Rhinolophus ferrumequinum: one gene and its partners. The protein of the gene in region 3 purifies or fractionates together with the protein of the main gene of each other region. This does not show direct contact. Links are inferred from orthologs where the notes say so. Each region holds a gene or a part of one and is shown on either strand. Other genes may lie near its edges.

Region 1 (9,841 bases), on a different chromosome or scaffold from region 3:
GATCTGAGGTGTTTTATTTCTCCTTTTCAGTAAAGTTTTACATTTTCATCAGAATATAACATCAAATGTATACATACCTCAGTGTATGAATATGAGGTTGTAATATATCTTGACATATAGTCTTGATGTTTTTCAGTTGTCTCTCTCTCTCTATATACATATATATATATGTTTTGTCCAGGATAATAAAATAATAAACACTTATAATAATGGCAAAGAGTACTTGTCCAAATAAGGGCTAACTGAACTGCCTATAAATTTCCTTTAGACAGTGAAGTCATAGCTAGAAGTTGGCAATAAGACCATCTGAAACGATTAAAAAATCATTTCTGTGATGTTTTTCTTAGAAAGGAAGGGAGAAAGGGAAGGAAAGAAAGAGAGAGAGAGAAAGAGAGTGAGAGAGAAAGAGAGGAGAGAGAGAGAGAGAGGAGAGAAGAGAGAGAGAGAGAGAGAGAGAGAGAGTAAAGATCTCTAAAAGATTCCTCCAGCTGATTTATTCTGCTGTTCTTTTACAATACAACTTCACATCTGACTGATAACTTGAATTCCACCCAGTGCCATTTAAATAGCCCAAGTTATAAACCTCTTAAACTTGGGTTTATAATAGAAACACTGACAGACCCTTAACTATAGTGCCTCTATAGTAATGAAAGCACACTATTTCATTATAGCATGGGTCTGGCAGGGCTGCTTATAATTAAGAAGCCTGTCAGCGTTTCCATTAAAAACCCAAATTTTAAGAGGTTTTTTAACTCCCATTGTTTTAAATCACATTGGGCTGAAATTGCTGTACAAAATGTTGGACAGAATGTGTATGTGGGTTGTGTGGCTTTTCCTTTTATTTACGACTCCGCCGTCCCCCAAAGAAGACAAATTGGTGAAGCTTGTTTTTAAGATGGGGTGTACTGAAAAAATGATTTCTTTGTTTAAAAGCAAAAAGCTTCATGGAGGGGGGGCACATAGGAAATGAAGTTTGAGATCTTATTAAATTTATGTTTGTACTTATTGTGTTTTTTCCTTAGAAATGCTCTAATTTGGGAAATCAGATTTGTACATCCAAAAAGCAATGTTGAAAAAAAAAATGGATCTTTTGATACTGGGGTTCTTAATTACCTATGGCTTATTTGGAAGATATTGACAGTGGTGGGCTGCTGGAGTTGATGGAAACATCTTGCATTGCATTTTTAATTGTTCAGCTGCTCTGATATTTGGGATAATCATTTTGAGCTCACCATCCTTGGTGGGAATCACTTTTAGGCTAAAATCACTCTTAATTAGGGTTGCCTGATCAAAGTCTTAGTGGTTTCCTGAGGAAAACCAATAGAATATAGATGGTTATATTCATTTCATTATGTGGTGATAGATTTATTCACTAGTCACACAAAAAAACACATTTATTGAGCATCTACTATGTGCTGAGTATCGCATTAGGACTTTCTAATATAGTACGTGGACTGGGCTTCATTGGCCAGCACCTCTATGCCTTTGATGTCAATATTAGGGGAGCTAGACTGAGCATTTCACCCTACAGTGCTCTAATCAGAACTCCCTGTTGTCTTCAAAGGGGATTCTTACTTAAGTGGTGAGACTACTGCTTCCCCCACTCCCCATACATTATTGACTCAGCACACAGCTCCCCAGTCTGGAGGCAAGTACAGACTTATTTAGAGCAGATTCAGCTTTTTCCTTCCTCCTCTTTATCTCTCCCTTCTTTAATTTTTGGATAGGTCCATTCAGGTATGTGAAGTAGTTTGCCAGCCAGCCAAAAGCACAGGGAGCCTCTGGAGAAGTACCAGGCTGTTCCCCCAGGAACCTCCCTAGGGGAAGTCTGGTGCCTTTGCAGAAGATGTGGACACTGCCCCTCCAGGGGCCTCCTCAGGTCCCAGGCTCTGGATCACACTGGAAGTAGAGGAATAAGACATGTTATGTGTGTGGAGGGGTGGAGGGCTGGGAGTGGGTGTTTAGGAGCTTAGGGAGTCTGAGGAAAGAGGGGACTGTGGCCTTCTGCTCACCTTTCAATTTAGAGGTGCCTACACAAAGCCCATCCCCTTCCTCTCACACAACCCTCTTCCCTTCTCTTTTTTAATTAATATTTCCTTTGTCCTAAACAAAATCCTAGTACTCCTACCCTCAAGAACCCCAATGCAAAACCTATGCCTAATGTAGAATCTATACCTAAGTTTTATTTTTATGAGATGACTGCCCTTTCTCTATCTTCTAAACTGTCCTCTAGGAAAAAAAAAAGTGAAAAAGCAAGGTGGGATCGATTGCATTTTTAAACCATCATTCATTCAGTCATTCATTTATTTATCTTTAAGTTCATAAAGGTGGTTTCCCCCTAAAGGCAGACAGTGAATATTTTACATTAATCTTGTAGTTTCCTTCTAGACGGACCTTTAACCCTTCATTCTCTGGCTCAGCCCAAGTCCCCCGCGCCAGGCGATCCTCTGTACGAGGGCTGGGACTGTATTAAGTCTCCCTCTTCGAGCTGTTTGTTGACCACATTCACGTTCAGAGCCCTGGAGCTAAAAGCACTTTTACACCATAAAATAAAAGCAACTGTCTTTTTTTTCTAAAAGGTTACGTCTGGAGGCCACGCGCTCATACTTCATACCGAAAACTACTGAAAGGACTATGAAATCCTCTATGATTTACACTCTCTCACTGCATTAGAGTATAGATCTACTAGACTCTAAAAATACGGTGAGTTTCTAACCGACGTGAATATATGTGCATTATTTCAGAAAGTCTGTTAGAAAACTTGTCAACACATTATAAAGCATAAACCAGGACTTGGCTATTAAGTACGGAGATCAGAGGCAGAATATATACTGCGAGGAAGTCCTGGGGAGTCTCTCCTCCGCGGGCAAGATAAAAAGGGGGCGGAGGGGAGGGGAGGGGTCCTCGGTTGGCCTGGAGTTTACACGCAATGTCGTCACCAAAGGTTTGGGAAAAAGCCCACGGAGCGTAATTGCCCCCTCAGTGGAACCAGCAAAGGTTCTACAGCTCCAAATGAAGTTAACTGAACGGCCAAAAAATAATTTTAACGTTGTCATAATTTATTACTTTCTAAAAGCCACTTTTGGAAAGGTAAATATACTTATTGTGTATTCACGTGTGCGCGTTTAACGTGACCTTTCACCCCTCTACAAAACCACCTGCATCATTAATCAATACTTATGTAATATTTTTAAAGCTCTTAAAACAACACATTTTTATTTCTTTAAGCACACATAAAAACCCTTCCCCTCCCCCACTTTTGGGGCGCTTTAGCGAGCATCTAACCCCAATGAGGGAGGGGGGCGTCACTCCTAGGGACTAGCCCAAGGAACCCGGAGTGGGGGTCCACGACCAGGAGGGACCAAATGCCTATACACAGCCCTGGTTTTCTGGACTGGGTGAAATCAGGCTGGGGGAGGGGCGGGAGCGGAGGGCATTTCCTATTTCACTCAGGGGCATTTTATGATGGTGAAATGAAATATATGTTAATGGTGGAAACGTTGCTGCTTACCTCTGCATTGGCACCCAGGGAAAGCAGCTGCAAAACTGGGTTTTTAATGTATGTTTTAAGATGTGGTTTCGGAAGGAACCCCCTGGAATCTGAAACAAGTGCAATAACATAGCAGACCTACTTGTAACTAAGTGCTTAATTTCCTATGATTTTTTTAAAAAAGAAAATCAATAAAATGTTGCCAGTTATTTATTGGAAATAACCACAGATAGCGGCCCTGATAGGGTGCCAGTTTTAGAGAGCACACAATTGTGTAATGAATTGTAATTCAGAAGACTGTTAAATGTGAACCACAGAACCTTTCAGAGGTAATAAGTCATTACTTTTACACTACAGCCAACCCTGAAAAGCTTTATACATACCATTATATATAAATCATACATATATATTTCCACAACACACATTCGCCCATTTATACACCTTCTTTGTGTATGGACATTTATGGATGGATGGGGAAAATATTTAAATTTGCAAAACTCGGTTCCGAAAGAATCTGACTCACTATTGTTACCTGAAGGGGTTTTATTTTTCAATTTGTTTTCAAAGGCCTCCCAGTTGTACTTTCTTCTTCCCTTTGCTCACCTTCCCTCCAACCATTCTCCTCCAAGTCCCGCTGCCCAGCCCCCTCCCCCAACTCCGCAAAGACATTTTTTGGTCGCTTTAAGGCTAGTTTAACAAGACAAAAAAATAGACAGTAGTGGAAGAAAGAAGCTGACCTGGTCTGAAGAACTCATGACAAGGGGGAAATGGTGTAACGCACAAACGCACAATCTACAGAGCTTTACTGAAAGTGAAATCTTCCTGCTTCTTAAACGGGATTTGAGTCTCCCTCCTCCCCCAAGCTGGAGGAAACAACAAACCACATTTACACTAACTCAGTCCAGCTTAACATCTTTCCTAATGTTGAGCATCAAAACCTCCTTTTCTTCCTTAGAGGGGCCCGAAGCTTCACCGAGCTAGGCAAGCCAGTCATTTTCTAATAGGTTTGAAACTTTACTAAGACAACACATGAATAAACAGCCGCTTGCCGGCGCGACTGGGAAGTGGGTGCGCGATTGCAAGGCGGGGGCCCTTGCTTAAAACAATAAAGCCCCTGCTGGGTGGGCGAATTTATGAAAAAGACGGCCCTTAGACTGAAGAGGGGGAAGAGAACCACGAGGGGTTGTGGAAATCCTTGGAGCACAGGGGAGACTGCTTGCTCTGCAGATACACACTCACACACGTCCACCTGCAGCTTGGAGTCTCGCGGGCTGCGGCCACCTGCCTCCACCCTGCAAGCTTGCGCCTCCCTTGGACTTGAGTCCCTTTTCCACCTCCCCCCTGCCCTTCCGGATTTGCAATCGCAGCGCGGTCTCCGCGGCGGCAGCGGCGGCTGAAGCTACAGGGTGGCGCAGGCAGGCAGGGAGGCTGGGAGGCGGGAGACGCCGGGGACTTTGCAGGCACGTTTCTGAATAAACTTTCCAATCGCAGGGGGTGCTGTTGCTGTACATTTCACGTAAAACTGAAAGTATCCCACGCCAGAGTGAAGCCCGCTTTTTGACAGCGGCAGTGTGTGTGTGTGTGTGTGTGTGTGTGTGTGTGTGTGTGTGCGCGCGCGCGCGTGCGCGCGCGCATTAAAGAGACAGGGGTTTATTTCCAACAGGTCTTCCCTAATTTCCCGAGAACGTCTGCAGAAAGGCCAGACCGGGGCTGCCGTTTCCCAGCGTGTGCGCCTTGGCCAGGAGCGCTTGAGGAGCACGGCGCTGACCCCCGGCGGTCACCCCACCACATGGCCTCCCCGTAGCTCCAGCGAGACAGCCGTTCTCTTTGCATTCCCCATTTTCTCTCCCCGGGTAACAGCACAGGAATAGTTGTGCTCTGCCCGTAAGAAACATTTCTTTCTATTCCTCAGTGCTTTTGCAGTTGCTCGGGAATGGGAGGGGGTGTGTCCATCCCTGGGACCCGGCTCGGGGACCTCGCTCAATGCCGGGAGCACGTTCCCAGGGATTGGAATTACCGGGACTGCCGGTGCTTTGTCCTCTGGCCTGCGGCCGCTCGGTGAAGTGGACGCCTCGGCGCCTCCCTAGCCCAGGGCCCCGGCTCTCCCCTCCGGGGACCAAAACGTGCCCCCAGTCTGGCTCCGGGTTCTTTATTCCTCAGCCTCTCTCCGCCACCCTAGGGAGATTCGACTCAGTGCTTCTAGTTGCATCCAGACCCAATCGCTTGTGGGGGCGCGTAGAACCACAGCCCTTCCACCCCCAGTTTGGCCTTGGGGGCGCTCTCCCAGCCCTCCGACCCAGGCCTGCACCACTCTCCTCGCCCTTGCCCCTCTCTCCAGGCAGCCAGGGCTCCGGGAAGCCCGGGGGCTGCCCTTTCGGACCCGCCACCCTCCAAACTTGGGCTGGACTCTGTTTCGCCGCGCGCTCCCTCCCGTCTCCCCTCGCCCGCTGCGAAGCTGTAACTTGGAGGCTCAACTCTCAACTTCGGGTGATTTTTCTTTACGATCCTCTCCTTGGGCAAAGTTTCCCGACCGCAGCCGCCGGCTCAGGGCTTTCACTTGGGCCCCGGCGTCCGCACGCGGGGAGAGAGCGCAGCGGCAGTGGTGAGGGGAAGTGGGTGTGCGCACGGAGGAGGGTGTCCGGGAGCAACTCTACCTGGCTTCCCTCCGCCCGCGCTTCCTCGGCCCGGGGCTGCAGTCTCCCCGTACACGCCAGCTTTTTAATAAAAAAAAAAAAAATCTTTCATTTTTGGGGTGCGTGTGCTCGAGGAGGAGGGAGCGCGTCTTGCTGCCCCCAACCCCTGACCCCCCCCCCCGTCGCCCCTTTCTTCTTCCCGGGCCACGCCGCCGCTTCGGCGTTGGCTGCGGCCACTCGTGAGCCCGCGGCCCCAGCTCCCCCTCCCCTCCGCCTGCCCCTCCCCCGGGGGCCGCGTCTGGCATCTGCGGAGCCCCCCGCCCCGCACCTCCCCCGCCCCGCACTGGCCATTGGCTTGTCCTGGTCTCTTTTTCATGTCCAGCCCCTGATGTGTGTCCATTGGTGTGAGCTTCCCCTTCCCTCCTCCCCTCTCTCCTGCTCGCCCTGCCCATGTTTTGTGTGTCTCTGTCCATCCAGACTCCTGACGTTCAAGTTCGCAGGGACGTCACGTCCGCACTTGAACTTGCAGCTCAGGGGGGCTTTTGCCATTTTTTTCATCTCTCTCTCTCTCTCTCTCTCTCTCTCTCCCCCTCTATCTCTCCTCTCTCTCTCTCTCTCTCTCTCTCTCTCTCTCTTTTTTTTTTTGCTTAAAAAAAAAAAGCCATGACGGCTCTCCCACAATTCATCTTCCCTGCGCCATCTTTGTATTATTTCTAATTTATTTTGGATGTCAAAAGGCACTGATGAAGATATTTTCTCTGGAGTCTCCTTCTTTCTAACCCGGCTCTCCCGATGTGAACCGAGCCGTCGTCCGCCCGCCGCCGCCGCCGCCGCCGCCGCAGCCGCCCGCCCGCCCCGCAGCCCACCATGTCTCGCCGCAAGCAAGGCAAACCCCAGCACTTAAGCAAACGGGAATTCTCGCGTAAGTAACCCAATAATAGTAATAATAATTATTAATAATCACGAGAGTGCGCAGGACAGAAGCAAGAGCGAGGGGGGGAGAGGGGTGTGTGCATGCATTTTAAAATTTTTTCACGAGAAAAACCTCCGAGAGTCGGGATAAAAGAGATTAAAGGGAGGGGGAAAAAAAGCAAACCTCATTCCATCTCGAATCATAGCCGTATGTACTTTTGGGACAGCACGCACCTTTTAATTTTACAAAAATTTGACTCCTCCTCTTTCCTGCTTTCCGCTGCTTTATTTCGCTGTTCGAAAAGGAATGCAATGATTTCCCCTCTAATTTTGCAAAATAATGAACAATGCTATGTATGGATGCGAACAACTCTCTTGCAAACCTAGGGGAGGGAACTGGAGGATAAAGGGGGGTTGCTTCCACTCATCGAAGGAAGGAAAACGGGGTGGGGGGGGTAAGAGAACCCAAGCCTAAAAAACAATTCCCAGTGAGAAAAGAGGTGAGACTGGCCCTCGGACATCAGCGCGCTCACGGTCAAGTGTGCACCGGGAGGAAAGTAGTCATCTCCACAATAGTGAGAAAGTGGGATTGTGGGATGGGGCCCCCGGCGCTCTGGAGTCTGCGGAGTGTGGAGAGGGGCCGCGGCGGCTCGGAGAGCCGGGCGACCGGCAAGGACGGGAGACGCGGCCGGCGCTGCCGCCTTTTGTTCCGGCCCGAGGTGGGTGTTTGTCCCGCTGCCTTTTGTGCCGGCTTCTAGCGCTTGCCCTCCCGCGCCGCCGCCGCCGAAGGGCAGGAGCAAGGGCCGGGGGTGAGCAAGAAAGGGAGGGTGGGCGCGGGTGCCGCCACCGCCCGGGTTGTGGCTGCCCGCCACTCCCGGGAGAACCTCAGTGGCGGATAGAAGACGCGCAAAATTAAATCAAATTAAATTAAAAACTAAATATAACAAGGCAAGAGAATGTAAAATTTCTTGCCCCAAAACAGAAGCCAAACGCTCCGCGGGCAGTTTCTGCAACGCGCTCCTCTTTGACTCCCCCCCCACCGCAAAAATCTCACACTCTTTAAATAGGGGGGGGGGGAAATACAATTACCCCCTTCCCCAAAACCTCTTTAGTTGCAAACTTAGAGCGCCGGCGGCACGGAGAGGGAGCGAGGAACTCCCTCCTCTTACTATTTTTTGGAAGATTTTCAAAAAAAGTGGAAGTGGATTTTGATTGGGAAAAATCTCGTGTCTGAATGTTTACAAGCACCGCGTGTGCGGGAGCCTCCTGCCAACAAACAGACAGAGGACCGAGCGCGGCGCGGCAGCCCGGGAACGGGTGGCTGCCGCGGCCGGGCCTCGCTGGGGCCTCGCCGGGCCTTGCCGCGCCCCCGCCCTTCCCGAGATTGCCCACCCGGCGCCCGGCGCCCGCCCGCCGGCACTGCTGGCAGGCCGCGCCGCAACTCTGCGCCAGCGGGGTCCACGGTTCTCTCGCCCCCAGCACAATACCCAAACCTTCTCTCGGCCAACCCGACTGCGAAATCCGCTGGGGAGAAACGCGGCTTTGCAAAACATTTTCATTTTGCGAAGCAACTGAAAAATCGAGTTTTGCGACCCCCCCCCCCCCCCGTCTCTTGTCCACAGCTCGGGACGGCGGGGAGGTCACCACGTGCTTTCCCTGCCCTCCTCCCACCCAGTCTGGTTACCAGCCCCTCGGCTCCGGGAGCACTGACACGCGGCGGCGCGGGGGGGGGGAAGGGTGTTGGGGGGTGGTCAGGAGAGTAATATATTCGAGTACGCGTTTTGGGAGTGCTGAATCTCGGGATTCCGTGCACCTCACCCTTGAGTTCTTTCCCTTTACCCCTGGTCTGGCTCGGTCGGGGGCGAGGGGGGGGTCCTTTTGAGCCTATCAGTGGTGGGTGGGTTGCTGTCTCCTCGCTAACAGAGTGCGTCTGGAAAGGCTGGCGGTGGGCACTTAGGAAAGTTTGGCAGTGAGGAAAAGAAAGGCGTGACAGGGCCCACATCCTTTCTCCTCATTCATGACCCTTATTTTAATTTTTGATGCAATTTTAAAGGGCCACAGATACCCAGTTCTGTAGTTTTTAAATCGGGGGGTGCGCACAGGGAATTGAATTTTTCACTGGGCCCTGGCTGGAACTTATCACAGACTTTGGAAGCTTCCCCCGCCCCAGCACGTTGCGGGGCCCTCCCTCTCCCCACCCCCGCGCATCCCTCCCTCGCCGCTCTCCCCCACCCCCCACTCCCCCGGCTGCGCCGGATGCGGAGCAGACGCGGCGCGCGGCGGTGTGAAGTTACAGCCGGGCCAGGTACCCGCGGGAAGGAAGGGCAGTGTTCGCAGAACTCGGGAAAGCCGGGCCCTTCTTCGGAAGGATGCATTGGGGGCTCAAAGGACAGACTGAGGCGTGCAGTCCGGGCTGCTCCCCTGCCTCCCTCCCCCCATCCCGGGTCCATCTCGGGACACTCCTGGCTGGGTGGATTAGTCCCCTTTTCCCCCCGCCCTAGTGCTTTGGGTTAAGGGACCAGCTTGGAGGGGGTTCGGGGGTCGCTTCTTGTACTGGGTGCAAAGAGGGGGCGGGAGCCATTCAGGTCTTTAGGAACCCCCCCAACCCCCCATCCTCCGCTTCTTGGGCTGAAAGAGAGCCATTCGGTCGCTAGGAGGCAGAACAAGATCAAGAAAGCTCAGCGAACTTGAACCTGTACCAGAGCCTCCCCCCACCCCCAGTTCTGCGTTTCTCCACCGGGGAGGGAAGAGCTTTGCGAGGGTGGGGGTGGGGGAAATGGACGGTTAGGCAGAATTCCCTTTCTCC
Region 2 (10,381 bases), on a different chromosome or scaffold from region 3:
CTCCTGCGTCCCAGTGCACAGCTCCCACCTGCACACACTACAGTCTGCCCACGGATGTCCACCGGATTCCAGAATCAAGTGCATTTTAATCTAAGACTTCAGGGTCCCTGGGTAGGAGGGAGGCAGCATGCGGGCACGGATCAGCTGTGAAACCAGCACCAATTGTCTTAGAAGGAGTTTAGAAAAGGACAGGGTATGGAAAAATAAAGAAAAATTTGATTAATTGGTGGCAGGGCTGGGTTGCATTAACTATTCCCAACACTGTCCCTAGGGAAGTCCTGAAGCCAATATCCAACAGCCCCTGTAGTGGGTGATGGTGGTGGCAGGTGACATACACAATGTTTTGAAGAGGTCATCGCTCACACTTCACTGGCACAACAGGACTTCGTCCCTTCTGATTCAATGCCCCCACTTTAGCGCTAATTTGAGACACTGTCTGCAATTGGAACCCAGTACATAGAGATAGACGGCTGAGACGTTCAGACAACGATTTGGGGACCGGGTTGATTTTACACGCCCACTGGCTTCCTGAGGGTTGGCGACCCCGCTTATCGATGGCTCAGAGGAGGAAAGAGTGGGGAGAGAAGTGAGGGGAGGTTGTGACTCCATCAGAAAAATGGGTTCAAGGATTACTCTTCGCCCTCAGCTACGAGTTCCTGGAAGAATGAAGTCAGGCGTGTTTAGGAAAACTTCCCTTTGTCCTCCCCCTTCGGTCCCTAGGAGGCGAGCCTTTCTTCTTGCTTTCAGGTCCCGGCAGCTTCCCTCACACTGAGGAGATAAAAAGAACCTAAATCTCATCACTACCCCTTCTCCTGCCATCTCCTGGTTGCAATACCTCGGCTAGGAGGGCAGGTCAGTCACTGAGGCCAACGGTCAGACACACTCTGCACGCCGTGCTTCCTTCTCTGCCTCGAAAGCGCGGCGGTCGAACCCCGGAGTCGCCTGCCCGCCAGCACCGAACCTCCCGCCCCGCCCCCCGCCCTCAGACTTATCCAATCTTGACTCGTCGCCCCCGCTTCCTCCTGCTCATAGTCTCGCTCAGCCAGGGCTGGCAGTGCGCGGCGCGGCGCGTGGGCGTGCTGCGGGGCGACCATGGCTGTAGACTGTTACCTTCGGTTCCCACAGTAACAATCGAAAGCCACGGTTGCCCTGGAGACGCGGGGGCGGGGCGCGCGCTGCTGACGGCACCGCGGCAGCTCCAGTCAGGCTGACGTCAGGACCGCTGGAGTGGGGGGTCGGGGGCGGGGCGCACAGCGGGGACCCGGTGCCGGACTGCTCCCCGGCTGTGCGACGTGCTTGTGGGCCCGCCGCCCCCCCGCAGCCCCTGGGGACTAGGGACGCGACGTCCCGATGGCGGAGCCTGCGCTGAATCAGCACCGCGGACAGCGGTGGCGCGGGCAGTGAGCGCCGGGCTGAGGGACCCTGGAGGGGGGAGGGGGTACAAAGGTGCCAGGGGCGCGGCAGGTGGCCGGGTCCGCGGTCCTGGGGCGGGGCCAGGCGTCGGTGGCCGTGACTGGAGACTGTTACTGAGGGCGGCCCGGGCAGTAAGCAGTCTAGAGCCAAGGTGCCGGCGCGCTGCCCGGGGGGGAGTGCCTCTGTCGCCCGCAGCTGGGGGCGCTGCTGCTCTTCCTCCCCCGCGTCTCCCGCCTTTCTCGGCCCCAGCGCTCGGGTACAGGCACGCGGCCCTTGACGTCAAAGCCCTGTGACATCAAAGATGTCCCTGCGGAGAGGCACTTCCGGAGGTGGGGGGGAGGTTTTGGGGGTGGGGCGGGGCAGTCCTGTCGAGGCCCCGCCCCCGCCTGGTCCTGAGAGGACAGCTCCTCGCGCAGAGGCGGGAAGTCGGGGGAGCAGAGGGACAGCCCGACGGGACAGGACGGGGAGGGGGCGCCCCGGCTGAATTCAGGGCAGCGGGCAGGTGGGCATCTGTCCGTCGCCGGCGTCCCGCTCAGCTGGCTGGGGACAGCGAGGCTGAGTCACCGCGATGAGGGGAGGGGAGGTGGGGGCGCGTCTCTTGAGGCTCCAGCATCTCCCCACTTTCTTGGGAGAATGGCGCAGAAGCCCCAGGAAAAGCCGCGGGGTCTCCGGGGGTCCATCTTCTGTTCGATGCTCCTCCAAAGTGGCTGCGTCTCCATCTGGGTGCAGGCAGGTGCTGCACGGGTTTCTGTGTACGCCTCCGGTACCGGTTCAACCAGCTGTGAGGGAACCCTCATCCCCCACCCTGCCTCCAACCCTACCTCGTAGGAGCCCTCCAACCTGCTGCCTGCGGGTCTCCTCGTTGCTCTCCCGTCCGTGTCCATGCATCCGTCCATCTATCGCCCGTCCGTGGGTCAGTCTCGCTTACCTGCCGGGCCGCGTCGCGCCCGCGCCAGCTCGCCTCCTGCAGCCCGGCTGGCGCGGCGGCTTTTATAGTCGCGCGTAGTACTCGTGCGGCGGCTCATTCATGCGGCCGCGGCTCCTACACACTGACGCGTTGCCGACGTCAGCAGGGAATTTAGGAAACGGGAAGAGGGGCTATTTATAGAGGCGAGGGGGGTGGGGACCGAGGCGATGAGGAGCTGGATGAAGAGCTGGGAGGTGGAGGAGGGTGCATGGAAGCAGGAACGGGGGGCGGGAACCCATGCCCCATGTACCGGTCTACAAGGGGTTAACTTTCCGGAACTGCGGGCTGGGGACCCGCGAGAGGATAATGCGGGGGGGCTGACGGGTCCCTTACATATTTATTCACTCTGCGACACCTGGGATGCAACCCTACTCCAGCCCAGCCTTCCAAGGTCCTCACCGGGTAGTACCCAATCCTACTCCTTAGTTTCTGGACCCGAAGGCTCTGTGACGTCACAAGATGTCCCACGGCGGCGTTATACTCCAATGGTCACTGCGGTGTTGTCACCCTGAGGAGTGAGGCAGGAGAGGAAGCTCCAGTGTGTGTGGGAGGGGGCGGGGGTGAGGGCGCTAGGGCAGCACCTAGAGCTATGGTGTGGATAGGGGAAGAGTAGGGAAACTCAGGGATCTCGAAAGGCTTTGTAGGAAGAGGCTGGGCCTGGAAGGAATGCCCAGTGGGGGTCCAGGTATCAGTTGGGAGCTGGAGACAAGAGGGAAGGCAGAAAATTGAAGAGGGTGGCTTGGACTCGCTGGAAATGAGCAAGGGGGTCCTCTGTGGGGGAGGTGGGGAAAAGATGGCAGGAGAAGGGGGGGCAAAAGGAAGAGGAAGCCTCAGCAGGTAGAGAGGAGGACAGGTCCCCTAGTGTCAGTGTCAGACCCTGGCACTGCAGACCACGTTTAGGACCCATTTGTGGAATGGTGGCATTGACAGAGCTCATATGGGGGTGATAATGAGTGAGGGCTCCGCAGCTTGGCAGAAACAGGTCTGGGGGGGGGGGCAGGGCAGAGGAGTTCGAGTTCCTGGAAATCAGAGTGGGCAGGAAGGGCCCATGCTATGTGGGTGGGAGTTCCTCTGGAGAGGACCAGGGAAACGAATGATCCTGGTCCACCCTAGCTCCATCAATTGAGATGGGCTCTCAATCAGGGAAGGGGAGTGCATTGAAAGAGAGGAGCTGGATTGGGATGGGGAGGGGGCAGTGCTAGGCCAGGGCAGGTGGAACTAGGGAAAGGTCAAAGACTGAAGAGTGAAGCCCACAGGAAGGTAGCTAGGCTGGGGCATCTGTGAGACCCTCCCATACAGATGTAAGGACAAGGGCTGGGGCAGTGAGCTAACTTGGAAAGCAGGGATCCAGGTAGAGTGTTGAAAAAAGACAAGGAGGGCCGGCCAGGTGGCTCAGGTGGTTGGAGCTCGGTGCTCCTAATGCCAAAGGCTGCTGGTTCGATTCCCACATGGGCCAGTGCCAGATGGCTCAGTTGGTTAGAGAGCATCCTCTCAACCACAAGGTTGCCAGTTTGACTCCCACAAGGGATGGTGGGCTGCGCCCCCTGCAACTAAGATTGAAAGGACAACAACTTGACTTGGAAACGTCCTGGAAGTACACATGTTTCCCAATAAATTCCCCTTCCCCTTCCCCAATAAAATCTGAAAAAAGGAAAAACACAAGGATAGTGGGCACATGGGTCCACAGTGGACAGAATCCACCACCACACAAAAGAGACACAGAGCTGAGGGGCAACTTGTGAGGCTAGGATCTTACCCCATCAAGAGGATAAAAGATTACAGCAGAAACAAGGTTAGAGAGGTCCTCCATACTCTTTGGGGTCTGGCTGACTAGAGTTTTTTGTTTGTTTGTTTGTTTGTTTTGCCTCCAGGCTTCCTCCCAGAGGTTCTCTTCTCCAAGAATGCCTTCCTGCCTGGCGGGAGAACTCCTCTTCATCCATCAAAGCCCAGTTCTAAGAGCACTTCTGAGGACCCTTCCCACCTCTTTCCAGCACTCCTTTCACTTTTCCGTCTCAGCGCACAGCACGTCCCCCTGCGGTAGGGGTCTGCAGCTCAGGAACCCCATTTTCATTTTTGGAACGTTACTACTTCCCTAGTGAGGCCATCATGGGAAGACAGAAGAGAGGATTAGGATAAGATTGATCCAGAACACAGACTGGAAACAGGGTGAGGGCGGACTCCGCGGTAGGAATGGGGACTTGCGGGGACCAGGAGCCGCCTCCTGGCCCCGAGGCCATGAAGTCTCTCGTGGAGGAAAGGGAGCCTCTGGGGGGCGCCAGAGCCTTTGGTGTCCGTCAGGGACCGCGAATGGCACCGCCGGCGTCCCCTCAATGAGTGATTCAGCCACTACCTCTAGCGGGGCATCGGGGCGGAGGGCCGCATGGGGGGCGGCGAGCATGGCCCCCACCCGCCCAGCGGCCCTGAGCGGTTGTTATGTTCTCCAAGGCCTTGGAGAGACGCGATCTGGGCGAACCTCAACGGTTACTATGGTAACTCTGCGACCCAGCCTCTAGCGAGGCAGCTGAGGAAGGCGCAGCCAATCAGCAGCTGCAGGCGTTCTCAGGGACCCACTCCCACCCCCCACGTGTGGGCGGGGGTCAGGAGGTGCGGGGAGGAGGAGGAGCGTGGGCCGCAGCGAGACCCCGCGCCGCTACCAGCTTGATGCGGGCTACTGGGCTGCGCGGGGACGCTTCCGGAGTAACCCTGCAAATGCCTGTGCGCCAGTGCGGGGTCCCCTTCCTCCCACAAGAGGTGTCACCTACAAGAACCGGGCCTTCACGCGGGGTGCAGGACCTTGCGGGGGATCCCGGGCTGCAGGCCCTCCTGTCACGTTTCTCTCGGATCGGTGTGTTGGAGATGAAATCGTCCAAGCAGGTCCCTCAAAATGGCTCACTCGGGAATCTGGGGGCTGCGCTCGCTTCCGTGGGATCCCCAAAAGACACTGTCCAGCAATTCCCAGTCGAATATCCTATGGCCCCTCTATAGATCTGCAAGTTCAGTGTGGCCTGTTTGGGTAACGTGTCTGTCCAGGTTAACGGAGGGCCCTACGTGGCAGCCCCCAGAGTATTACAGAGAGCCGGGACTTGGACTCCGGAAGGGGGCAGGCAGGTGTATCTGTGCAAATTTGCGCGCCCGCAGGTGTCAGTACCTGGAGAGGATCTGGGTGCAAACGGGTTTATTCTGTGCATGTGTCATTTTAACTCGTGTCTGAATGAGGATATGTGTGTTTGGGGGTGGCTACAAATGGACAGTCCCATCCAGGAATGTCTAAGTAGAGTCCCCCAAGATCTTGTCTATCTTCCTCTTCCTTAGGATTTCCGTAACCACCCTCCCACCATCTACTGTCACCAGAGTCTTCTCCTTGAGGGCAGGACTTCTCCGAATTGGGGCAATGTGAGAATCTGCAAATATGTACACCGGAGCATTTAGCTCAAAACCTCGGGGTTTGTGGGGCTCGCAGGTCCGGAGCTTGGGTTCCCAGTCGGGCATATCCGGGAGGGTGAATCTGCGAATAGGCCTCCCTGCAAGATCCAACTCCGCATCTGCGAGCCTCCAGCCCAGGTGCGCGAGAGGGAGGTCATGGCTGTGTCGCGCAAAGCTCCGCGCGACCGCGAGGTGGCTCCATAACTGCAGCAGAACCCGCCGGCCCGGGCCGCTCCAGATAAGAGTGTGCGGAAAGCGCGGCGGGGCTGAGACGCGACCAGGACGTGGGGAGGACGGACCAGCAGGACAGACCGACCGGGGGCCCGGCGGGCGGAGGGCAGCACAGCGCAGCCACGTCCCCCCTGGATCCGCCGGCAGCCGGGCCCGGGGCTTCCGACATGCCCCCCAGGTGGGTCCTCGGGCTGGGGACCGGGAGGGACAGGGGACCTAGACAGCCCGGTCCTCGCGCGCTGACCGCCTCGGGCGCATCCTCCGGCGCGGCCGTCCCAACGCGGCTGGCGTTCGGAGCTCCGAGTGTCGCCCCTGGAGGACTCAGGACCACAGGGTCGCTGTTCTGCGCCGGGTTCACGGCGGGGTCAGCGGCCCCGGCCGGCTCTGCCCGCACATGGGCTGGAGAGGCGAGGGGAAGGGAAGGGGAGCTGGCGGGCGGGGCTGGCAGGGGCGCTGCCCTGGCACAGTTCGGCGCCTGGCAGCGGGGCGGGTGGGGCACGGGCAAGGAGCTGCCACCACCGCGGGGAGGGAAGCCCGGTCGGGCTGCGGCCGCAGGTAACGGGCCGCGAGGCCCTGCGGGCCAGGCGGGGAACAGGGGAGGGCGGGCGAGCGGGCGGGCAGGGTAGCTCAAGGCTCGACTCAGGCCCTGCGGTCGCCGGGCTGCCAAAATGGGGGGCGAGAGAAAAAGCTGGGAGCCGAGGGGACTGGGGCTGGTGCGCCCCTCCCGGCCTGTCTGAAGTTGGGAAACTTTTCCCCAAGTTTGGGGCGGCGGAGTTCCCGCGGAGAAGGGGAGCTGGGGAGGGTGGCGCCGGTCTGCGAATGCAGACCTAAGGCCGAGGCCCGGCCGGGACGCGGGTGGGGCGCAGGCCGAGGTCAGGGCCGCAGCCGGCTGCGCGCCGTGCCCGCCCGGGGCGCTGCCCCCTCCCTCCCCTGGGAGCTGCGTGGCTCCCCCCTCCCCCCCACCTGCTTCCTGCCTCAGCCTCCTGCCCCGATATAACGCCCTCCCCGCGCCGGGGCCCGGCCTTCGTGCTCTGCCCGCCACGGCAGCCGCTGCCTCCTCTCCTGGTGCCGCGGCCGCCGCCCGGGCCCCAACTGAGGGCCTGACAGCCCCCGGCCAGGGCGGCGCCACGGCGGCCACGGCGCTCCCCTCCTCCGGATCACTTCCCCCAACTGGGGCAACTTCTCCCGAGGCGGGAGGCGGTTTTCACTCGTCTGCCTTAGATCCCACTTGGGCAAACTTCTCGGCCCTGAATGACTTTTCCTGAAGCGGACATTTCCCTCAAATCGGGTAACTGTCTCCGAAAGGGTCACTTCGCCCGAACAGTTTTCTCCTTGGAAGCCCCCCAGAAGCCAGCCTGTGTGCCCGGTACCTCCGGGCCTGGGGTGCAGGCCAGCCTGGCCTCCTCTCCACCAGCCACTCTCCTGCTCCTTCTTCTGGTCTGGGCCTCCGGCCCAGGCTCCCACACTCAGAGGCCGCTGATCCTCCGCCAGTGCCCAGGCCACGGTGCTCGATGCCCGTGCCTAGCTGAGGGGAAGGGAAAGTGGAGGGGAGACGCGCCGGGCTGGGGACCAGCAGCGAGGGCTCGGTGCGGCTCTGAACCGGCTGGTGTGTGTCCCCGCAGGAGATTGTGCTGGGCAGAGGATGCTGGACACGATGGAGGCTCCCGGCCACTCGAGGCAGCTGCTGCTGCAGCTCAACAACCAGCGCACCAAGGGCTTCTTGTGCGACGTGATCATCGTGGTGCAGAACGCCCTCTTCCGCGCGCACAAGAACGTTCTGGCGGCCAGCAGCGCCTACCTCAAGTCCCTGGTGGTGCATGACAACCTGCTCAACCTGGACCATGACATGGTGAGCCCAGCCGTGTTCCGTCTGGTGTTGGACTTCATCTACACCGGCCGCCTGGCTGATGGCGCAGAGGCTGCTGCTGCGGCGGCAGTAGCTCCGGGGACCGAGCCGAGTTTGGGCGCCGTGCTGGCTGCGGCCAGTTACCTGCAGATCCCCGACCTCGTGGCGCTGTGCAAGAAGCGCCTCAAACGCCACGGCAAGTACTGCCACCTGCGGGGCGGCGGCGGCGGCGGCGGTGGTTATGCACCCTACGGGCGGCCAGGCCGCGGCCTGCGGGCTGCCACGCCGGTCATCCAGGCCTGCTACTCGTCCCCAGCCGGGCCTCCGCCGCCGCCCAGCGTTGAGCCGCCGTCGGGTCCCGAAGCCGCAGTGAACACGCACTGCGCAGAACTGTACGCCTCCGGCCCCGGCCCGGCGGCCGCACTCTGTGCCCCGGAGCGCCGCTGCTCCCCACTCTGTGGCCTGGACCTGTCCAAGAAAAGCCCATCGGGCTCCGCGCCTCCGGAGCGGCCGCCTGGTGAGCGCGAGCTGCCCCCGCGCCCAGACAGCCCTCCCAGCGCCGGCCCCGCAGCCTACAAGGAACCACCGCTTTCTCTGCCTCCACTGCCACCGTTGCCCTTCCAAAAGCTGGAGGAGGCTGTAGCACCTCCGGACCCGTTCCGTGGCGGCGGCGGCAGCCCAGGACCCGAGCCCCCCGGCCGCCCCGACGGGCCCAGCCTCCTCTACCGCTGGATGAAGCACGAGCCAGGCCTAGGCAGCTATGGCGACGAGCTGGGCCGGGAGCGGGGGTCCCCAGGGGAGCGCTGCGAGGAGCGCGGCGGGGACCCGGCATCCTCGCCCGGGGGGCCCCCGCTCGGCCTGGCTCCACCACCGCGCTATCCGGGCAGCATGGACGGGCCTGGCGCGGGAGGCGACGGTGATGACTACAAGAGCAGCAGCGAGGAGACGGGCAGCAGCGAGGACCCCAGCCCGCCTGGCGGCCACCTCGAGGGCTACCCATGCCCGCATCTGGCTTATGGAGAGCCTGAGAGCTTCGGTGACAACCTGTACGTGTGCATCCCGTGTGGCAAGGGCTTCCCCAGCTCAGAGCAGCTGAATGCGCACGTGGAAGCGCACGTGGAGGAGGAGGAGGCGTTGTATGGCAGGGCCGAGGCAGCTGAAGTAGCTGCTGGGGCTGCGGGCCTCGGGCCCCCTTTTGGAGGCGGTGGGGACAAGGTCGCTGGGGCTCCCGGTGGCCTGGGCGAGCTACTGCGGCCTTACCGCTGTGCATCGTGCGACAAGAGCTACAAGGACCCGGCCACGCTGCGGCAGCACGAGAAGACGCACTGGCTGACCCGGCCCTATCCATGCACCATCTGCGGGAAGAAGTTCACGCAGCGTGGTACCATGACGCGACACATGCGCAGCCACTTGGGCCTCAAGCCCTTTGCGTGCGACGCGTGTGGCATGCGCTTCACACGCCAGTACCGCCTCACCGAGCACATGCGCATACACTCGGGCGAGAAGCCCTATGAATGCCAGGTGTGCGGTGGCAAGTTCGCACAGCAACGCAACCTCATCAGTCACATGAAGATGCACGCCGTGGGTGGCGCGGCCGGCGCAGCCGGGGCACTGGCGGGGCTGGGGGCGCTGCCTGGCGTCCCCGGCCCCGATGGCAAGGGCAAGCTCGACTTCCCTGAGGGCGTCTTTGCTGTGGCCCGCCTCACCGCTGAACAGCTGAGCCTGAAGCAGCAGGACAAGGCCGCCGCGGCTGAGCTGCTGGCGCAAACCACGCACTTCCTGCACGACCCCAAGGTGGCGCTCGAGAGCCTCTACCCGCTGGCTAAGTTCACCGCGGAACTGGGCCTCAGCCCGGACAAGGCGGCGGAGGTGCTGAGCCAGGGAGCGCACCTGGCCGCTGGGCCCGACGGCCGGACCATCGACCGTTTCTCCCCGACCTAGAGCGCCCCACAATGAGGCCCGCCCCACTGCCGCTGCGTGGCCCCTGGCCTGTGCCTCCAGGGAGCGGCGGCAGCGGCGGCAGCGAGCCGGCACACCGTGGCTCCAGGATAACTGTGGTAGCAGCGGCAGCGTCACCGCAGTGGCGGCGGCCCCACCTCTCTGCGGCCTCACCTGGCCTCACTGCTTCGTGCCTTAGCCCGGGGGTGGGGGTGAGGGGAAAACCCCGGGACGGGGGTGGGGTGGGGGAAGGGAGATTTATATTTTTGATATCAGCTTTGACCAAAGGAGACCCCCGGCCCTTCTCCGCCTCTTCCTGTGGTTCGTTGGCCCCATCCCCCGGGCTCCGTGCTGCTTTTTGGGGGAGGGGTGTCACTGTTGGGGCGCTCCCAGCCCTACCTCCGGCCCTTGCGACCACTCCCATTCTCACTGTGAATCTCCCCGCCGGGGTCGGAGCGTCGGGCAGAGTTGGGGAGCGGGGAGGGGACTGAGCCGGCCGGAGGGCCCCCTGCCCCCGCTCCCACCCGCCCGGGGACTGATAATGTGAAGTTCCTCATTTTGCA
Region 3 (10,584 bases):
GGAGGCCCTGGAGGCCACCTCCAGGAGGGATGCCTTGCTCCAGCCCAGCCTGCAAGAGGCCACCTGGGGGCCTGGAGGACAGCGGGGTGGGGGTGGGGGGCTGTGCCAGGAAAGGCCGCCCACACCTGTCAGAGGCCAACAGCTGTGGGCGGCCTGGGAGGGCCTGGTTTATGACCAGCTTCTTTGCGGGCCTGGGCTCAAGGGGTCTAGGCTGGGGGGCCAGGCCCCCTTGAGGAATCAGGCGCCTGCTTGAATGGCTTGGTGAGATGGTGGGACCAGTAGTCCTTAGGAGGGTGGGGCTTTGATATCCTGAGACCTCAGGTCCTGGTGCCTGCCCAGCCCTGGGGTGCCAGTCAGCATTGGGCCCTGCCTCCAGGAGCCCACACGTAACCCGGGGTGACACTGTGATGGGGAGCAGCCAGGGGCTGCAGGGCCAAGGAGCCGCTAGACACGGGAAGGCCTCCTGGAGCAGGGAGCCTCCCCACCTCTGCATGTGAGCGGACTGGCCAGCCCAGAGGCAGCGTGGCGGAGGTCTGGGGTCGCTGTGAGGAGCTGACCCTGCGCCTGCTGTGCTTTTGAGGGGTGGTGAGGCAGGGCTGCATTTTTGGGGAGACCAAGATGGAAGGGGATGGGAAGTGGCAGGGGAGAAAGGGGGTGCTTGCAGGCTCCCAGCCCTCGTGGTGCGAGGACAGCAGCAGGGCAGGCCTTGGTGACTGACTGTTGGGCTGACGGGGCTTCAGTGTGGGCAGCTGGGTACAGGGCGCTCTGGGCAGCAGGAGCTCACCAGCCGCGGGACCGGGGCAAGGGCAGGCGTCAGGCCTGTGCTGGCACCAGCAAACGGGCAGCACTGCCCAGCCCGCTCCTCCCAGAGCCCACTGCTCAGATGCTGCACCCCTGCCCCCCCCATGCCCCCACTCCCGCCCTTCCTGACTGCAGGACTCAGGAAGCTAGGTGCCCCCACTCTCTCTGGGGGCCCTGAAAGTAATTTTGTTCCAGGTCTGTGCATTTCTCAGGATCCCTAGCGTGGGTGGAGGGCCAGAGACGGAGACGACGGGTGGGACTAGGGGAGATGTCCTTAGGGGCGGGGGGGGGGGTTCAGGCAGGGCTTTGTAGCTCCCAATGAGGAAGTGGGGTGGGTGTCAAGGGCAGGCTGCGTGCTGGGCAGGACGGCCTTCCCCTGCTCAGTCAGCCGTTAGGGCAGGTGACAGGTGCTGTGGAGGCCTCTTGCTGACTGGCCTCATGGGCTCGTTAGTCACTCGAGGTCCAGGGCTTTGCTGGCTCACCCGGCCAGGATTCTGGGGTGGCCAGTGCTCTGCCCTCCACGAGGTCCCCCCACCGGGACCAGCTGTCAGGTGGCCCCAGAACCCCCACCACAGTGCCGAGGCCTGGAGCTGGGAGCCTCCTGGGCCGCCTCCCATGCAGGCGGCCACAGGGCCAACCTGACTCTCGGGAATGAGCGCCGTCTCCTGGTGGGGACTGGCACGGAGCCTGCGGCCCTCTCCAGCAGAGCACGGTGCGGGGACAGGGGACAGTGCCTGGAGATGGCTCTGTTGTCACACGAGGTGTTGCTGCCCTAACAGGTCACCACAGACTCAGTGTCTTCAATTCATGAACTGTGAATTCTGGACAGTCCAAAACGTCTCACTGAGCTAGGGTCAGGGTGTGGGCAGGGCTGCCTTCTTTTCTGGGGGCTCCACAGGACAATCGTTTCTCGCCTTTCCAGCTTCTAGAAGCACCCACACACCTTGGCTCATGGCCTCTCCTCCATCTTCTAAGTCACAACGTAGCATCTATGATCCTTTCCATCATCACATCTTGTCTCCGTTCCGCATCCTCTCCCATTAGGGACCCTGTGATTGTCGGGCCCACCCCATAAATAACCCCGGGTCCCTTTCGGGTCGCCTGGTTAGCGACCTGCACTGTCCCTTACCATGTAACCCAGTGCAGTCACAGACATGTGCACCTTTGGGGAGGCACTCTGCTTTCCACAGGGGCTCCTGGCACCGCGTGAATAGAGGCCAGGTGTGCTACTCACCATCCCACAGAGAACAGGACGGTCCCCACAACCAAGAATGAGCGGGCCTCCAATGTCAGCAGTGTCCCCCGAGGAGGGTATAAGGCAGCCCAGGAGCCCAGGTGAGAGTAAGGTCCACCCAGCAGGCAGGGCAGGCAGAATCAGCGTGGTTAGGATGTCACTCCTGGCCACCTCTGACAGCGGGTACTGCAGTGCTATCTCCGTATCCACTCTAGACTGTTCTTTCACTTCAGATTCCCGACCAGGTATGTCTCTCCCCAGCTCTAGGAAGAGCAATGCACCTCCCCGGGACTCACGGGGACACCCCTGATTGGAGGGAGGACATAGTCTCTCGGGTGCAGGCTCTGGGCTGGCCATGTGGTCCCCTTCATGCCCTGGCATCCGTCTGTGCCTCTGCGGCCGGTGTGGAGCAGGGTCTGAGGCTGCTCTAGACACGCCAAGCAGAAAGGGGAGCCCCCTCAGCCCAGCCCCCAGGACCAGTGGGGCACCTGGGAGGTGTAGCTTGCGCTCCGAGGGCCAGTGGACAGCCACTGCCTGGCACTGCCCCCACTGAAAAAAAGGACTTCATTGGCTTTGCGAGGACACTCACTATTCCACAAGCCAACAATAAAGTTTAAAAAGTGTTGCCCACGATTTCATCACCGAGATATTGTTGTCGATGTTCGATAAAGTTTACGCAGGTAGTTGTAAAGGCCCAGGCAAGCATGAGCGGTCACGTGACACACAGAGACCGTGCAGAGCTACTCCTTTAAGTAAAAGCATTAAGGGAAAACATGGTCAGTGAAATGTGAATGCTTCTTTACCCCAAGTTTCAAAGATGCTCCTAAGATTATTTTTAGAAATTACAAAAACCATGATGGGACGAGTGTCACTTGGTTTGAGGCAGCATGCTTCCATTAGCCAGAGCTGGCTCTCCTGCTTCCTGTGTCCTGTGACTGTGTCCTTCCTGCCCACGGACTCCCCATGGTCCCCTGCACCACTCAGCCCTGAGTCCGTACTGACTTCATCATGTCTTCAGTGGTTGGATGTAAGGTAGCTTTCACATTTTTAAAGAATTTTATTTCTTGGTTTCTTCCAGGTTTAAAAATGTTTTCCTGGGGCCTCCCTACTCCCGGGGGGATTTGGCTGGGGAAGGGTTAGGTTCTGCTTTCCTGCCCCAGGCTCCTGTTCATACTTCGGGCGCTGCTGGAGACCAGGGCTGGCCTGACTACGTCCTGGTCTGTGATGCCCTCTCTGTTCTCTCCGTCCTTGAGGGTCAGTGACTGGTAGTCGGGTCTCGGGTGGGTCACGCTGGGGGCTTTCCTAGACTGTGGCGTGAACTCTCACACAGGCTCCCAGCGGGCCCCAAGGGCGCCTCCTTCACCAGTGTCCTGACCGCTAAGCAAGCAGTGCCCCTCGCCATGGTCACTGTCTGAAAGCATGTGATGTCATCACACCATTCGTTACCTTCCCTCCTCCCCTAGACTTTGCGCCCCTAAGAGGGAGTCTCCCAGGTGAAACAGTGTGGCCTGAAGTCGGTGCTGAGTGAACCGCTTTAATTGCTCATCCAGCCACTCCTGTATCAGGGACCTGCCATCCTGCCCCTCCACAGGGGGGCCTCTGCTCTGGCCCTGCTGCCATGTCTCTAGTTCTCGGGCTCCTCCTGAGCCCCGCTCCTGCTTCCAGTGCTGTCCAGTGCTGTTCCAGAAGCTTCCAGTGCTTCCCAGCCCCGTCGGCCTGCCCCTCACTCCCCCTTGTTCTGCTGCTGCTGTTGACTCACGGATGTGCTCTGACCTTCTTCACATCACTCCTGCTCTGACGAGTCTGTTTGCTCTGCTACCAAACGGAGGAATTCGTCTTTTTTGCAATGTATCAGATGTGTTGACTTGGCGGAACTGGTTTATGGCCTTAGTCCTACATGCAGCCACTTTGTCAGTCAAGAGTGGGAGCCAGCTGGAGGAGCTGGGCTGCGGTGTCCCAAGACACTATTAAATGTCATTCTGCTTTGTGACAGGCACGTCACCTTAGGGGAGACTTGGAATTCTGGTGTCTTCCCTCAGACACCGGTTGACCTCAGAGGCCTTACTGTCCACTCTCAGGCAGCCCTTCCTCCCTTCACCCCCACTGGATAGAGGGAAACAGTAGGCTGGGTGCCCATGGCATCTGCTCTCAGGTTGAGGCCTCCAGTTTCTGGGAGGGAGGCAGAAGCTCTTGTGCATGATGGCTGCCTGGTCACCTTCTGGTTGTCCTGACTCCTAGGTCACTTTGTGAGGTGTTGGTGGAGGATTTTACGCTGCAGCTTTGCTTTCCAGAGGAGTCGCAGGCCAGAAAGGGAGGACAGAGGCCTGTGGGGGGGAGGGGAAGCACCCCACTGCCTCTCCTCCCCTTGGAATATCAAATCCTAGTATCACACCTGTGTCCTATACCTAAGCTCCTCCCCCATCAATCACAACTGTGGTCTCACCCCCTCGCTGCCCTTTCCAGCTAAGTTCCTGAGAGATGGTGGCCCATGGTGGTACCACGTGGCATGTAGTCCATTGCTCTCCTGGGACCTCTGCCTGCTTTCATCCCAGCACACGCTCTGGGCTCCTGCCCACCTCGATAGTTCCCTGTAAGGACCTGTCCATGGGGGGGTCTCCTCTACCACGTGGCATCCTGTGCTGAGCCGGGAGCCTCTCCTGAGCTCCACTCCGTGAAAGAGCCCCTCCATGTCCCACAAACTGGACATGCCCCCCCCCCCGCCACAGACCTGCCCCATGTGAGTAAACAGATAACTCAGGTGTTGCTCAAACCAGATCCCTGGAGACCCCAGCACCCTATTTCCCTCACCCCCCAGCAGTGCTGTCAACCCTGTCTCCACACTATGGCTGGGACGCCATCCTCTCTGCTTCATGCTCTCTCCCCTGGGGGCATAAGGACCCTGGTTTTGCCGGCACTGCATGAACCAGACTCTCCACTGTCCTAGGACCTGAAGCAAGAAGTACACAGACTTCCAGATTCCAACTGGTGTGGGAAGGAGAGCCAGGTGCCTCACTGCACACAGGCAGCCCTTCCAGCCCTCCTGTCTTCTGGGCATGGCACATCCTGCCATCCCAACCCACTGAGTCTGGGTCAGTGAGGCCTGCTGGAACCCCAGCCTCAGATGTGTCTTCCAGAGGGTGTCCTCTGGGCATACATGCTGCCCTCCTGCAGCCTTTTCATCAGACCACAGGCCAGGGAGGCCATGCCAGCTCAGTAACTGGTTCACTTGGAAGTGGGGTGGGGACACCCCCACATGTGAGCATGGCTGGGGGAATGGGTTATGAGCGGCAAGGCCTGAGACCCAGGGTGAGTGGAGACAGCAGCCTTGAAGGGAGGTATGGGTCCCATCGTGAGGCCAGAGCATGGCTGCTGGGCTTTAGGGCAGTGGAGGACTTGGAAAAGACCCACCGGAGATGGGGGTAATGGGGGGGGGTGGGAGGCCCCTGGAAGGGTTCGGGAGGCTGTGGAGGGTGTGGTGGGGATGCTGTGGGAAGGGACGCTGAAGATGTGGACCCAGGGATGGGGAGTGGGGAGGACCCACCCCGGTAAGGGACGCTGAGGATGCCAGAAGGACCCAGACATAGGGAGCACCCTAGTGGGTTGTAGGAGGACCCCTCTGGGGAGGAGCAATGGGAGGATCCACGAGGGGAGAACTGGAGGGGATCCACCTGGGGGCTCCAGGGAGGGCCCACGGTGTGGGGAGAACAGGGAGACCCACCAGGGGGCTGGGGAAGAACCACAGGCGTTGGGGGGGAGAATAGGGAGACGCCTCCCGAGAACTTGGGGAAGGACCCACTGGGGGGCCGCGGGGAGGACCCACGGAGTAAGAACGGGGGGACCCACCTGGGGGCTGGGGAGGACCCACGGGGGGGCGCGGGCGGCTGTAACGGCGCCGGCGCCGAGGCCCCTCCCCCGCTCGCGCCGCTCCTCCTCTTCCTCTCCCGCCCGCCGCGGCCTCGGTCCCTGCGCGGCCTCGGCGGCGGCGGCGGCGGCGGCAGCGGCCCCTTTAAACCGCCCGCCCGCCCGCCGCGCCCCCGCCCGCCCGCCCGCGCCTCCATTTTCCAGGCCGCCCGCCGCCCGCGCAGCCCGCGGCCCCGCCGCCGCCGGACATGGCCGCCAACATGTACAGGGTCGGAGGTAAGGCCGTCGCCGGGCCCCGGGCCCCCATCCCCTGCGCGCCGCCCCGACCCGTCCCGGTCCCCCGGGCCCCCGTCCCCCGCCCTCCAGGCCGCGCTTCCTAAACCGCCGCCGGGCCCCATCCCCGCCCCGCCGCACCCGGTCCTGGCCCCAATGTCCCTCCCCTCCCCCACCCCACCGGCGCAGCCCGGCCGCGCAGCCCGATCGGCCCACGACGCCCGCACCCCTGCTCCCCTCCCCCACCTTTCGAGCAGCCTGCCCCTCCACTTCCACCCCTGCCCCGACTGCGGACAGTGGGGGTGGCGGAGTTGGGCCCTGGGGAGCGGGGCTCTGCCCACCTGTTGGGGCGCCTGCGTGACCTGGGGGCCCTGGGGAGAGGCCGAAGCATCCTTTCGGGCCTGGCAGCCAGGGCTGGGCCTGGGGCCTGGCCAGCCCCCTCCCGGAGCTGGAGCACGTGGTCTTGCGAGGTGCTTGTCTGCTCTCCCAGGAGCAGGAGACTTGGGCCTGCAGGGCTGGCTGGAATGCTGGGGGCCGTAGGCCCCTGTGGGGATGGGGAGCCCCAGGCCTGGGCCACGATTTCCCCAGGGTCCAGGGACACCTGAGAGCTGCGTGTGTATTTGGAGGCTTCCCTAGCAGGATCCCTTGGGATCCTCAGCAGGATGCTTCCAAAGCACCCCCAAACTTTTCACTGCCTCCTGTGCCCCAGGCCAGCAGGGAGGTGCTTTGCAAGGGTTGGGGAGAGGCCGGTGACCCCTGCCCTTCTGCCCTGGTGGGGACTGTGCTGAGCAGGCTGGGGCCCTGGGGGCTTCACCCTCTTGGGCCCCAGGAACCCCCCTTACCTTTGGGCCTTGCCCCACTTTGTGGGGAGGGTCCTCAGGGACTCTGTGCCTCTGGATTTCCATGGAATTCTGAGCTGGTCCTCAGGTGGCTTCTCCACAGGGAGGTGAGGGACCTTGCAGCCCCCCATTTCATCGATGTTCAATCTTTCTGAGACTGTCAGACACTCACTTGCCCACCTTTGCCCGGCTCTCCAAGTCACCTCTGCCCCCAGTCTGCCCCCTCACTGGCCTGCTGACCCCTGGGTGTCTGGGACACATCTCCATCTAGCCAGGCCTTTTTTGTGACCAGGACCCCATCTGTGCAGTGGGTCATCAAGGCACCTGCCTGCTGTCCGGCCCTCCTCTGCCCTCTCAGGTTCAGAGGTGGTCTCTAGAATGGGGGCCTGCACCCCACTTAGCAGCAGGCCCTTGGGGAAACAGGGAACAGGCAGGGTGCAGGGGCCCTGTAAGGGAGGAGCCCGTTCATCTCCCACCTTGGGGAGGCAGGAGTGTCACCACACCCTAGGGAAGGCCCCATCACTGCTGCCCTGGACCCCCAGGGGGCCACTTACCTTTCTCCACCCCCCAGCCCCTCTGCACAACCCCCAGCTGCTGTGGCTCAGGGCTCCTGCATCCATCCCTCTCGATGCTGTCCCCCCTTGCACCCTCCTGGACCACCTTTGTGCCACACAGATCCCCTCCTACCTTCTGTGAAGCCCCCATGGCACCTGCTGATGGGAACAAGTCCCTGTGACCTGAAGCCCACCTGCTGCCCCCTTGAGGTGACCAGCTAGAATCCCCTCTTGCAGGCATGGTCTTACCCTCGCATCCCGTCTGGCCCTGAGTGCAGAATAAATGAAGGCTGAGGGGGAGGCAGGGTGGGGGCTGCAGCCACTGTGCCTTTGGCCCTGCCCAGGCACCTCTACCCGCCTCTGCCTTGTGGGGCCTCCACTGTGCCTGCTTGTTGGGATTGGCCCTTCCCAGGCTCTGGGCCCCTGGACCCCGACTTGGGGTCTCCCCTTGCGTGTGGGTTGTGTCACTTAGCCTCTAGGTCTCCTACCTGCTTGAGTACTCAGCAGGGGCCCGGCCACCCCCCAACCTTCCCTTGCCTCAGTTTCCCTGAGGTGTGGACAGGGCTCTCTGACCTGCAAGGGCTCCTGGGGAGGCCTGGCTGGCCTTGAGTCTGCGTGTGCCCCTCTGAGGGTGCTGTGGGATCTCCTCCCAGTTTCAAGTGGCGCTCCGCAAGTGTGACCACAGGCTCCACTTTGAACTCCTGTCAGCCCCTGGGAAGACCCTAAATGTGGAAGAAACTGCATTTAGCCTTGGTTTTGGTTTCGGGGCGGGGACCCTGACGTGCCATCCCCTGGGTCCCGGCAGGGCTGGTGTCACAGTGTGTGCGGTGTTGGCAGGTCAGCATCCTGTTCCCAGGTGCTGCTTTCTTGGGGAGGGGCCATCTAGAAGACGGGCCCTCTGGTCCCTGAGTGGATTGTAGCCTGGAGGACACTGCAGGGACAGTCTAGGAAGGGACTCCCATTGTCTCCACTCAGAACCCTAAGAACAGAGCCTTTTCCAAAGGTGCCCGATTCTGCAAGCACAGCTAAATTTGGGTTTCAGATAAACAATTTCTTAGCATAAGTACGTCCCAAATAACGCATGGGACATACTTATGCTAGAAAATTCTTTGCAGAAATCTGCAGTATCTGGATGTCCTGCATTTCACCTGATGGGCTGTTTCAAGGCCCTGCCAGGATGTGTGGGCGGGGTGAAGGCATGGCTGTGGCTTTGTGCCAGCTGACCAGCTGGGTGGAACGGGTCAGCCTGGGAGGGGACAGGGCCTGGCTCTTCCCAGGGAAGTGACCTGGCCATAGACAGAGGCCTTCTGTCAGTAGGCTGCGAGTCTGGCAGGTGGGTGGGCGGGGCCTGGACACGAGTGGCAGGGTCAGGGTCCACGACCTCTGCCCCTCGGGGCCTGTGCTCCAGAGGACCCGGGCAGGCTTCTGGAACGGGCCGTGGCTGAGGGCTGCTTCTCTGCACACCTGCCCAGGTGCCTGGTGACGTGTCAGCCACCCTGCAGTGTTGTCATGCGGCTGACAGGCTCTGACCATTTCCCACAGGATTTTTTTTTTTTCTTCCATTGCAAGAAGTTAACACCCATTCTTATGGATAGTTTGTTTTTTCAAATATACTTTAAAAAAGTGCCAGGAACATCCTGCCACCAGGCAGCCTCTGCTCTCCCCACATCATCGGTTTTGTGTCTTGCTGCGTTCATTACGTCAGTACGCTGTCCTGCTGTCAGAAACGCTGCTTTCATTTTTTTATTTTAAGCTTTTGACAAGGTAAGACAGTGCCAAGCATGAGCCCCCAACTTCTGAGTGGCCTTCAGGGAAGTGCTGAGCTGCCCCAGGGGTTGGGGCCCCCCTTGTGGCTTTGAGAGAAAAGTTTGACCCTTCTGCTCTTGGATTAAAAAGAAGCAGCTGCTGATCTGAGTTGGAGCGAATCCCTCACGCCTGGGCCCCACAGGGCGGGACCCTTGGGGTCTGGGCACCCCTGCGTGTTTCCAGTGCCTTCCTGGAGGCTGGCTCAGAGCAGGGCATCTGGACATGTGGACATGGGTGCTGGACATGCCAGGCATGGAGGCGGGCGCCTTGTGGTCGGGACCGCAGGGCTCCTCCCGGGCTGCCTCCAGCTGAAGTGGAGGTGCGCCCACCTGGATTCCGGGCGGGTCCCGCCGGTCTGTTGCCCCGAGTCCCCCGGAGGAACCACCCTGAGGCCCCTGCCCAGCCCCCCCCCCCCCGGCACCCCAACGTGCCTTCTCTCAGGAGTTCAGGCTCTGCAGTGTGTCCTGTTCATCGGCCCAGGGCCTCACTCTCCGTGCCTGTCTGTCCTTAGGGCAGCGGGGGTGGGGGCACACAGCTCATGGCAGCACACAACCTTCCTGGGCTCCCAGGACCCCGCACGGCCGGCGAGGGGTGCTGGTGCAGTCTTCACAGTGGTTGAGCCCGGGCGCCGCTGCCCATGTCGGGGCGGCCTTGGGGGCCTGGTGGGCGGGGCTGCTCAGATGCTCTCAGGAGCCTGCCTGCCCTGCCCGTGCTGGTCCCTTGAGTCCCTCCTGCACGTGGTGGCCTCAGGCGCCCACGGGCACCACCTGCCTCCGCACATTTCCAGGGCCTCATTCCTCCGGGTTGGACGTCTTCTCCCAGCTCCGTGGCCTATGCCCGCACTCCGGGCCCTTTCGGCCCCTCCCTGACCACCTGCTGGCCGCTGCCTTCAGAGCCGACCTGCTCATGTCCCCTGCCTGACAGTGCGCAGTGGTATCCTGTGTGGAGGGTCAAGTCTGAGCCTCTAGCGGGCCTGGAGTCCGGCCCCGCCCTGCCCGCTGCCTCTGGGCTCCACTTCGCCCTCTGCCTGGTGGCCCCAGCCTGCCCTTCACGGCCCCCCAGTGTCACCCTCACGAGTGGGTACTGGCTGGGCTCAGGACCCCAAGGTGAAGGCCCAGGTTCCTCCGGGTGACAAGGGGCCGTTTGTCACGGGAGTGAGGTGCACAGAGGGCAGCACCTCCCAGCAGGAAGGGGGTTCGAGTGGCCAGCAGGTTCC

Evidence for each region.
Region 1: the proteins of MTA1 (region 3) and BCL11A purify together in Homo sapiens (affinity purification with mass spectrometry; 4 studies listed by BioGRID and IntAct, counting the BioPlex papers as one, with this or other methods). This does not show direct contact. The link is inferred for Rhinolophus ferrumequinum from reciprocal best matches to the Homo sapiens genes MTA1 and BCL11A.
Region 2: the proteins of MTA1 (region 3) and HIC1 purify together in Homo sapiens (affinity purification with western blotting; 3 studies listed by BioGRID). This does not show direct contact. The link is inferred for Rhinolophus ferrumequinum from reciprocal best matches to the Homo sapiens genes MTA1 and HIC1.

The regions. Positions count from the first base shown.
Region 1 is NC_046296.1:28,336,503-28,346,343, forward strand, and holds the start of BCL11A (B-cell lymphoma/leukemia 11A), read left to right. Parts: upstream 1-5,866; 5' UTR 5,867-5,977; intron 5,978-6,554; exon of another isoform or gene 6,555-6,860; 5' UTR 6,861-6,990; coding exon 6,991-7,045; intron 7,046-9,283; exon of another isoform or gene 9,284-9,291; coding exon of another isoform or gene 9,292-9,340; intron 9,341-9,841. UniProt on the Homo sapiens protein: Transcription factor. Associated with the BAF SWI/SNF chromatin remodeling complex. Binds to the 5'-TGACCA-3' sequence motif in regulatory regions of target genes, including a distal promoter of the HBG1 hemoglobin subunit gamma-1 gene.
Region 2 is NC_046304.1:15,993,963-16,004,343, reverse strand, and holds the start of HIC1 (hypermethylated in cancer 1 protein), read left to right. Parts: upstream 1-6,212; intron 6,213-6,501; coding exon of another isoform or gene 6,502-6,589; intron 6,590-7,013; coding exon of another isoform or gene 7,014-7,138; intron 7,139-7,656; 5' UTR 7,657-7,676; coding exon 7,677-9,821; 3' UTR 9,822-10,381. Other genes in the region: uncharacterized protein LOC117012891, read left to right, coding at 5,790-6,212, 6,502-6,589, 7,014-7,138. UniProt on the Homo sapiens protein: Transcriptional repressor. Recognizes and binds to the consensus sequence '5-[CG]NG[CG]GGGCA[CA]CC-3'. May act as a tumor suppressor. Involved in development of head, face, limbs and ventral body wall.
Region 3 is NC_046289.1:455,598-466,181, reverse strand, and holds the start of MTA1 (metastasis-associated protein MTA1), read left to right. Parts: upstream 1-6,075; 5' UTR 6,076-6,144; coding exon 6,145-6,172; intron 6,173-6,510; exon of another isoform or gene 6,511-6,864; intron 6,865-10,584. UniProt on the Homo sapiens protein: Transcriptional coregulator which can act as both a transcriptional corepressor and coactivator. Acts as a component of the histone deacetylase NuRD complex which participates in the remodeling of chromatin.